2 linked regions of the Sus scrofa genome follow. The protein of the gene in region 1 purifies or fractionates together with the protein of each later gene. This does not show direct contact. Links are inferred from orthologs where the notes say so. Each region holds a gene or a part of one and is shown in the gene's direction. Other genes may lie near its edges. The genes, in order: TMPRSS6 and HFE2.

Region 1 (3,808 bases):
ACCACGCCAGACCTGAGCCACAGCTCATGGAAACATTGGATCTTTAACCCACTGAGCAAGGCCAGGGATCGAACACGCGTCCTCCCAGATACTAGTCTGGTTCATTACCACTGAGCCACAGTGGGAACTCCCAGCCACAGTGGGAACTCCCAGAACTCAGAGTGGCTGAGATACTGACCCAGAGTCACACAGTGGATGAGAGGTGGAGCCAGGATGATAAGGCAGAGTGTGGACGCCCCACATACCAGGCTGTCTCCCACATCTGGGGCTCACTCCCGCACCCCTAGTGCTTCCTGGCAGAGCACCCAACCTCCCTGCTTCACAGGCTCCTGGTGAGGTTTAAATGACACCCTTATGGCCCGGGGACTTCTGCTGGTCCCTGGAGCCTACATCAAGCACGGAGTAGGTGCCCAATAACAATGCTGAGTGAATGGATGGATGGATGGGTGGGTGGGTGGTATAGGTGAAAATGGTGACAAGTCACAGGACTTTCTCCCCAGCTCCACCTTCTCCCTCCCCGCACATCCACCTAAAGAAGAACTGTCACTGTGCATACTGAGCACCTGCTGTGTGCAAGGCACTATGCTGAGAACTCGGACATGCACCCTCCCTAAACTCTGGGACAACCAGGCTAGAATTGTCATTGCCCCCATATTACAGAGGACAAAACTGGGCCCCAGGAAAGACTAGGTGGAGATTAGAGGAATCTATGTTTTCTGGCCCAGGTCTGTAAAATGGGAACAATGAAACTATTTCATGGAGCTCTCGGGAGTTCTCATTGTAGCTCAGTGGGTTAAGAACCTGACTAGTATCCATGGGGTTGTGGGTACAATCCCTGGCCTTGTTCAGTGGGTTAAGGATCTGCCGTTGCCAAGCTGTGGCATAGGTCGAGGATGAGGCTCAGATCTGGCGTTGCTGTGGCTGTGGCTTTAATGGGACCCCTGGCCTGGGAACTTCCATATGCCGTGGGTATAGCCCTCAAAAATAAAAGAAACACATTTGATTCCCGGGAAGCACACCAAAATAATAACAATAATAAAATAAAATAAAAATAAAAGACACACGTAAAAAAAACAAGCCCCAACCCCCAAAAAACTATTTCATGGAGCCATTAAATGAGATGGTAGGTGCATGGCCCTGAGCTCAGCTCCCTGCAGGCATCAAAGCGCTGGCTAAGTGCCATCTGTTTATTCTCGTGGTTTGGTTATCACTCGCTTCCTCCGCCTGGGCGGCCTCCCAGCCCTCCTGGAACATACCCCCTTCTCTTCACCTGCAATGAAACCCTCAGCTGCTCCTCTTACTGCTGGGCACCTCCCAACCCCCGAACTAGTCCCCAGTCTCCCGGCCTCCCCAGCCTTGCTCCCAGCAGCCAGAGGAGTCTATGATTCCAGCCCCACCTAACCTTCCATGGCTCCCGTGGCCACAGGAGGAAAAGGCTCATTTCCTGGCGTGATCTGAGCCCTGCCTCCCTCCTCCAACTGGCCCTCCTGCCTTGGAGTCCCCTGCCCGCTCAGCCGGCAGCCGTCACTGTCCTGCCTGCATCTGTATCTGTCCCCGATGTTTGTTGCTCCCGGGCAGCGACAGAGCCTTGCTCTGGTACTCGCCAAGTGCAGCAGGGGAAGGAATGCATGAGCCGGTGAACGAGTGAGTGGGTGAGGAGGCTGAAGATGGGAGCAGCAGCGGGACAGAAAGATGGGACTGAGCACCTCGGGGCTGAGCCCCACCAGCGGCTCTCCCGCCCCCAGCCCTGCCCGGGTGAGGACCTGACGGGGCTGGCCCCACCCCAGGTCTCTCCTCCCAGCTAACAGGAGTCAGGGGGCCTGTCCCTCTCCCCCACTCCAGGCTGCTACCGCTATAGCTACGTGGGCCGGGGCCAGGTCCTCCGGCTGAAGGGACCCGACCACCTGGCCTCCAGCTGCCTGTGGCACCTGCAGGGCCCCGAGGACCTCATGCTCAAACTCCGGCTCGAGTGGACGCTGGCGGACTGCCGGGACCGGCTGGCCATGTACGACGTGGCGGGGCCCCTCGAGGGGAGGCTCATCACCTCGTGAGTCCCTGGGAAGGCGGGGCGGGGGGCGGGCAGGGGGGGTGCTGGGAATGGGAAGGGGATGGAGGGGTGGGGTCAAAACCACCCCCAGATTCTGAGACAAGGGGCTGTGTGACGCTGGCCCCCGCAGTTGGTACCTGGGGACAGGGAGGCTAGCCCAGAAGGGGGTGGCGAGGGGAGACTGTACCGTGGGCAACCCCTCCTCCTCCCCCCGCCTCAGTTTCCCTATTCGTAACAAAACAGTTGCACTGGGAGTTCCCTTTGTGGCTCAGTGGTAATGAACCCAACTAGTATCCACGAGAACTCAGGTTCGGTCCCTGGCCTCACTCAGTGGGTTAAGGATCCAACGTTGCTGTGAGCTGTGCTGTAGACCACAGAAGCAGCTCGGATCCCACGTTGCTGTAGGGACTGCGGCTGGCAGCTGCAGCTCCGATTCAGCCCCTAGCCTGGGAACATCCATGTGTCACGTGTGCGGCCCTAAAAGAAAAAAAAGTCAGCTCTGGGAGGTGACATGATCTTGCTAGAATGCTTCAGAATCTGGCAGCCCCAGACTTCCGGCCCCACTCTGCTACTTCCTAGCTGTGTGCCCTAAGGCAAGTTACTTTGCCTCTCTGAGCCTCAGTTTCCTCACCTGTAAAAGAGGTGCACAACCACGCTTACCTTGCCGGGTTATGGTGGGAATTTTCATCAGTCCCTCTGTGCCAAGATCCTCACACATAGTAAGCATCAGTATCACTGTACATTAAGCATACCCGTTAAACATCCCATGCCATCCACTATCCCTCATCATCTAGAGTCTAGCTGGGGCTGGGTCATAAAGGGCATGGAATGCCAAGGGCAGTCTGAATGTTCACACTTGGTCAGCGAGGAACGAACGGGAAATTCTTGAGCAGAGGAGCAGGACTTTAGGATAAGGCGTGGAATGCAGGAGGTGGGCAGGGGGTGGGTGGAGGGGAGACCTTGAAGGGGCTGGAAATGACCTTGGCCTCCAGGAGCCTGATCACCTTCCTGCAGGGTGGGGGTGGAGTGCCGTGGATCTACAGGGTTCTGTAGGAGGTGGGGGAAGCACTGGGGCACGAGGCTGCTGCCTCCCCTGTCTTGCTTGGGCCGGCTTCCCGGCTGCGTGGGGCTGGGACCCGCAAGTTCAGATCAAGGGCTGTGCTGGAGGATGCGCTGGGCCACGTTCTCCCGGGCCCCCTTCCACAGGGCCTCTCTGAGTCTCTGAGCTGTGAGGCTGAGCCCTCCTCTGCAGCCCCACCCCGCCCTGCCAAGTGGTGACCTCAGTCTGGGGTGTGCGTGGGCTGGGTTCCTGGAGGGCTCTGGGAAGCTCAGAGAAGCCAGACACCATCTGATTTCCAGGCCTGATCAGAGCGGGGACGCTTCAGGGCTTTCCCTGGGCTTCTCCCAGGCTCCACCCCTCCTCAGCCTGCTGTGGCCGGCTGAGCCCTCTCCCCACTCCCTGTGGCACCAGCCTGCTTACTCCCTCTCAGACCCTCGGAGAAGCTGTAAAAGGATGGGTCAGACAAGACCGAGGGGTCCTCCAACGCACCCCAGACCACGCGGGGGCACCTTAGTGGTGATGGGGAGACAGAGTCGGGGTCGGAGGGGGGGAAGCCTCCACACTTTCACCTTGTTTTAGTTACAACCAGGGCTCAGCTGCTAAGTAAGTAAAAAAAGTTTCCAACATTAAAAGCGACCATTTAAGGTGACCTTGGGGAGTTCCCGCTGTGGCTCAGCCGGTTAAGAACCTGACGAGTATCC
Region 2 (4,520 bases), on another chromosome or scaffold:
GGATATACTGTACATAAAAGTATAGCTATGAGTTATACTTCCAATTTAAATTCAGAATTGTAGCGTTTTTACTTCAATCATAAATCTGTACCTCTTTATGCTACCTCTAAAATCCTGGTTCACAAGAATGTAATTACTCATTTGTTTTATCCCACGATATACCCACAAAGCTTTCAGAATAGCAATACCAACACTACCACCAACATGACTGCTTTAAAATATTTTGCACTTCTTTTTGTCCTTAGAGTAATCTCACTTGGGATTTCATAGTCAACTTATTGTATTTATTTATTTATTTGACTACAGTGACAATGCTGAATCCTTAACCACTAGGCCACCAGGAAACTCCCAAATTATTGTGTTTTAAAGTCACTTGGATAGTTTGGTTGGAGTCATTTTACACTTTTGTAATATAAACCCTTGTGGAGTTCCCTGGTGGCTCAGTAGGTTAAGGATCCAGTGTTGTCACTGCTGTGGCTCAGGTCACCACTGTGGTGAGGGTTTGATCCCTGGCCTGGCCTGGGAACTTCTGCATGCCATGGGTACGGCCAAAACAAAACCCAAAAACAACCCTTGTGATATGGCTTCATGGCATCAAGAGAAAAACTAAAATTTTCAGATACACATGTAAAATAAAGAGAAGAGTGTTCCGTGGGCCTCTAGATTCTGAATTAAGTATAGAGCAAATTAATGCAGATGCATTAGTGACACTATTTGAGGTCGGCCCTTGTGTTAATTTCACTTGGCAAATACTAAGAGGTGATGATGCCTATGGCTGCTAAAATATGACATGGCTAAATTCCTTGACTGCAACATCTTATAAGAGGTCACCAGATTATCTTACTCCACAAAAATATCTTTCTGAATCTCTTTTTCTCTCAGTTTATCTCTCCAAGGTCCTCTCCTCTGTGGATTAATAACCTTCAAATTTTCTATCCCCATTCCTTCTTCTTGCCCTTCCTAGCCTTCTCCCCCCAGCAACTCAGGAGCTTATATTTTTGTGTGTATTTTGGGGAAGAGGAATTGCTGTATAAATAAGGGAATGAAAATGGAGGATGTAGGGTAGACAGCTGCAAGGATCTGAGCTAGTAGACTGAAACAAACCCTCATCCTAAACAACTCAGAGCTCAGATTTCTTCTCTAGACAGCTGGCTGTTTTAGTCCATCTGATTTACTCTGCAAAGATGGGGGGTGGGGGTGCTGTGAACTATCTCTGTTATGGACCTTATTTAAAGTCAGCTACCTCCTAGATGTGTTCTGTAGAAACTAAATGCCATATTTAACATAGCAGGCTTGAAGGTGATGAACAAAATGTATACAATTGTCCATTCTAATTTTTAAAGGTCAAGAGCTCATTTTTAACAATACTTCAGGGCTGCCTGAAGTAGGCACTAACTAGAATTATATAAGCTCAAATTGGACATCTGACTTGATTGTCATATTTCTGCCCCCCTTCCGCACTTGGCACCCTATACTCCATATTCTTTCCAATCCTCCTACCCTCCCCACTCCCCCAACTCCAACACCCTACCCCCACCAATGTTCCTGGAATTTTGGACTTAGCTATTTTTAAAACAGTCAACTCAGTAGCCACCTCCCTCCCCCGCTCAGCTGTCCAGTACTCTGGCCAGCCATATACTCTCCCTTCCCCCCACATCAGACCTTCTCTGGTTCCCTGACCTCAGTGAGATTGCCACCGGTCTGGGGACCTGGGGAAGACATGGAGAAAGAGACGGGGGATCCCCTGGCTGGAGCTGACTGACACAGTAGACAGTCATGGCTGGAGAACTGGATATCAGACTAATATTTGACGTCTGGAAACAGTAAGTCAAAATGAAATTGCAATTCCTTTAATAAGCTTTTGGAGTGAAGTTAGACTTTCATAAAATTAAGACACCTTCTTGGATGTCTCTGGTCTGAAAGCTAGGATCTCTTCCATACTGAGGTGCCCCAGTGTCCATTTCTCCTTCTGTCTTATTTCTTTCTGTTCTCTGGCCATTAGAAGTTTAAATTTCTGTCTCTCCTTTGGGAGTCTTGGCTCTCTCCTCATCTGGTTGCCTCAAGACTACTAGTGAAGTCTCTTTCTTTAGTAGGAGGTTCCCATATCTCCTATTCTGTGGTTTTCTCACCAAGGCCAAATTTAACCTCAGATGATTAGTCACTGCTACCCTTCTACCCTGCTCCTACTTAGTAGTGCCCTTCACGTTGGGCTTCTAAGGGTAGGGCTACTCCTTGTTGTAAATGATTTCTCCCCATGACTCTAGTCTCAGTCATCCTACTCTCCCTCCTACATGACTCTCCCTCAGTCATATCCTTACCCTTGGAGAGGGTAGTTTGGCAAGAGAGAGTTAGTCCCTCCTCAAGCCCCATCCACATCAAAAGACTGAGAACTTCTAAACTTGCAAAGGAAAGATTAATGGAATGAATGATTCTTCAGTAAGGTTTGGAAAAATACAAGAACTGTTGACCCACAACAAACATTGATTTGCATGCTTGGTGTACATCCCATTATTCCATGAGAGAGAGATATAATTTTAGCTCTCTAGAGTATATGAAAGAGATGGGTTCCCTTTTCATTTGAATACTGGTATTCTAGAGAGGGGATGTGTATACCACCTTTACAACTTCTTGCTGAGAATTCTGACACAAAGGAGAAAAAGAAATGAATGACCCCTGGAGAGTATCCCATCCTGATGGGGAAGGGCAAGTAAGAGGTATGTTTCTGAAGTACTTTTCAGATCCTAATTCTATTGGGGAACCCACTATCCACATGATTCCTCTTTTTTTTTTTTTTTTTGACATTTCTGCTGATTGGTAGCTCAGAATGGGGCAATACAGTGGACTCTGCCCCCCCCCCCCCAGTCAATTCAACCTTTCTTCCACCCCCACCTAGGAGTATTGCATAAGGGACCTGAAAGTAGCCACAAAAGCAGGTCACAGAGGCTTAACAGCCACATTTTTAGTTCAGGGACCCCCATTCTCCCCAAACTCCAGTCTGCTCAAACTTTTCTTGATCTCCGCAGATTCTCTTCACACCATTCTGAACAATCTTCAACTCTTCTCTTTCCCCCTGCACAGCCAAATTTCTTTTTTCAGCCCCTTACAGGACGTCTGGTCAAAATTCACTAGGTAGGAGGGTCATCAACTGGAAAGAACCGGAGCCTGGGGGGACCTGGCTGGATAGGTATGGGGGATCCAGGCCAGTTCCCTAGTCCCTGGTCCCCCCATGGCAGTCCCCCAACTCTAAGCATTCTCACTCTCCTGCTGCTCCTCTGTGGACATGGTAAGGAAGGGTTAGGTAAGGGTTTGGGGAATCTAGAGGGTAGGCTGCTATGTAGGGGTGGGCATGTGCGCATGTGTGAGAAGAGATGGGGGCTGAGGAGTCCCAGTCACTCGCCCCACTCTCAGATAGGTATGTATTATTCTCTACTCAACTTGGGAAAGGGCACTGGGAAAGCTTTTGATCCGGAGGGAGAAGAGATCTAGCAGGGCTTACACGTTTTTAGCAAATCCGAATGAGAACAAGACTAGGAACCTGGGGCCTGGGGGCTGGGGAGTGGGTAAGGCTCTCTGTTGGGTTTTTGGATACGCTGGAATCCCTTGATGAGATTTGGGAGTGTTATGGTATAGCCAGGATCTGGGGGCCACCTTAAAATCCTCTCTCCCTTCTGTCCTCAGCTCATTCTCAATGCAAGATCCTCCGCTGCAATGCTGAGTATGTATCTTCCACCCTGAGCCTTAGAAGTGGGGGTTCACCAGGAGCCCTGCGAGGAGGAGGAAGTGGAGGAGGAGGCCGTGGTGGAGGGTTGGGCTCCAGTGGCCTCTGCAGAGCCCTCCGCTCTTATGCTCTCTGCACTCGGCGCACTGCCCGCACCTGCCGCGGGGACCTGGCCTTCCATTCTGCTGTGCACGGCATCGAAGACCTGATGATTCAGCACAACTGCTCCCGCCAAGGCCCCACGGCCCCTCCCCCTCCCCGCGGCCCCGCTCTTCCTGGAGCAGGCCCCGCCCGCTCCTCCGGCGCCCCAGCCCCAGACCCCTGTGACTATGAAGGCCGGTTTTCCCAGCTGCACGGTCAGCCTCCAGGCTTCTTGCATTGCGCCTCCTTTGGGGACCCTCACGTGCGCAGCTTCCACCACCACTTTCACACTTGCCGTGTCCAAGGAGCTTGGCCTTTGCTGGATAATGACTTCCTTTTTGTCCAGGCCACCAGCTTCCCCGTGGCATTGGGGGCCAACGCCACCACCACTCAGAAGGTCAGGGACTCAACTGCTTCTTCAGATCCTCCATGGTCACCCCAGGGTACCTCTCCCAAGCCAATCTCTTTATTTCTCAGCAATGCTCCCTATTCCTTCTCATCCTCAACTACTCCCACATTTTGATTCACTCCTTCCTACCAAACACTTGCTGCTGTAAATCACATTCCCTTGGTCAAAATTTCACTTTAATGCAGAAAATCCTAAAGAGAATATTGCTGAGAGGAAAGTAACTCCCTGAGTTGAGGAGTTACAGAAAGGAAA

Evidence for each region.
Region 2: the proteins of TMPRSS6 (region 1) and HFE2 purify together in Homo sapiens (co-immunoprecipitation; 3 studies listed by IntAct). This does not show direct contact. The link is inferred for Sus scrofa from reciprocal best matches to the Homo sapiens genes TMPRSS6 and HJV.

Annotation. Positions count from the first base shown.
Region 1 is NC_010447.5:10,680,319-10,684,126, forward strand, and holds part of TMPRSS6 (transmembrane protease serine 6), read left to right. Parts: intron 1-1,842; coding exon 1,843-2,047; intron 2,048-3,808. UniProt on the Homo sapiens protein: Membrane-bound serine protease. Through the cleavage of cell surface hemojuvelin (HJV), a regulator of the expression of the iron absorption-regulating hormone hepicidin/HAMP, plays a role in iron homeostasis.
Region 2 is NC_010446.5:99,326,391-99,330,910, forward strand, and holds the start of HFE2 (hemojuvelin), read left to right. Parts: upstream 1-1,598; 5' UTR 1,599-1,823; intron 1,824-2,596; exon of another isoform or gene 2,597-3,096; 5' UTR 3,097-3,186; coding exon 3,187-3,283; intron 3,284-3,678; coding exon 3,679-4,256; intron 4,257-4,520. UniProt on the Homo sapiens protein: Acts as a bone morphogenetic protein (BMP) coreceptor. Through enhancement of BMP signaling regulates hepcidin (HAMP) expression and regulates iron homeostasis.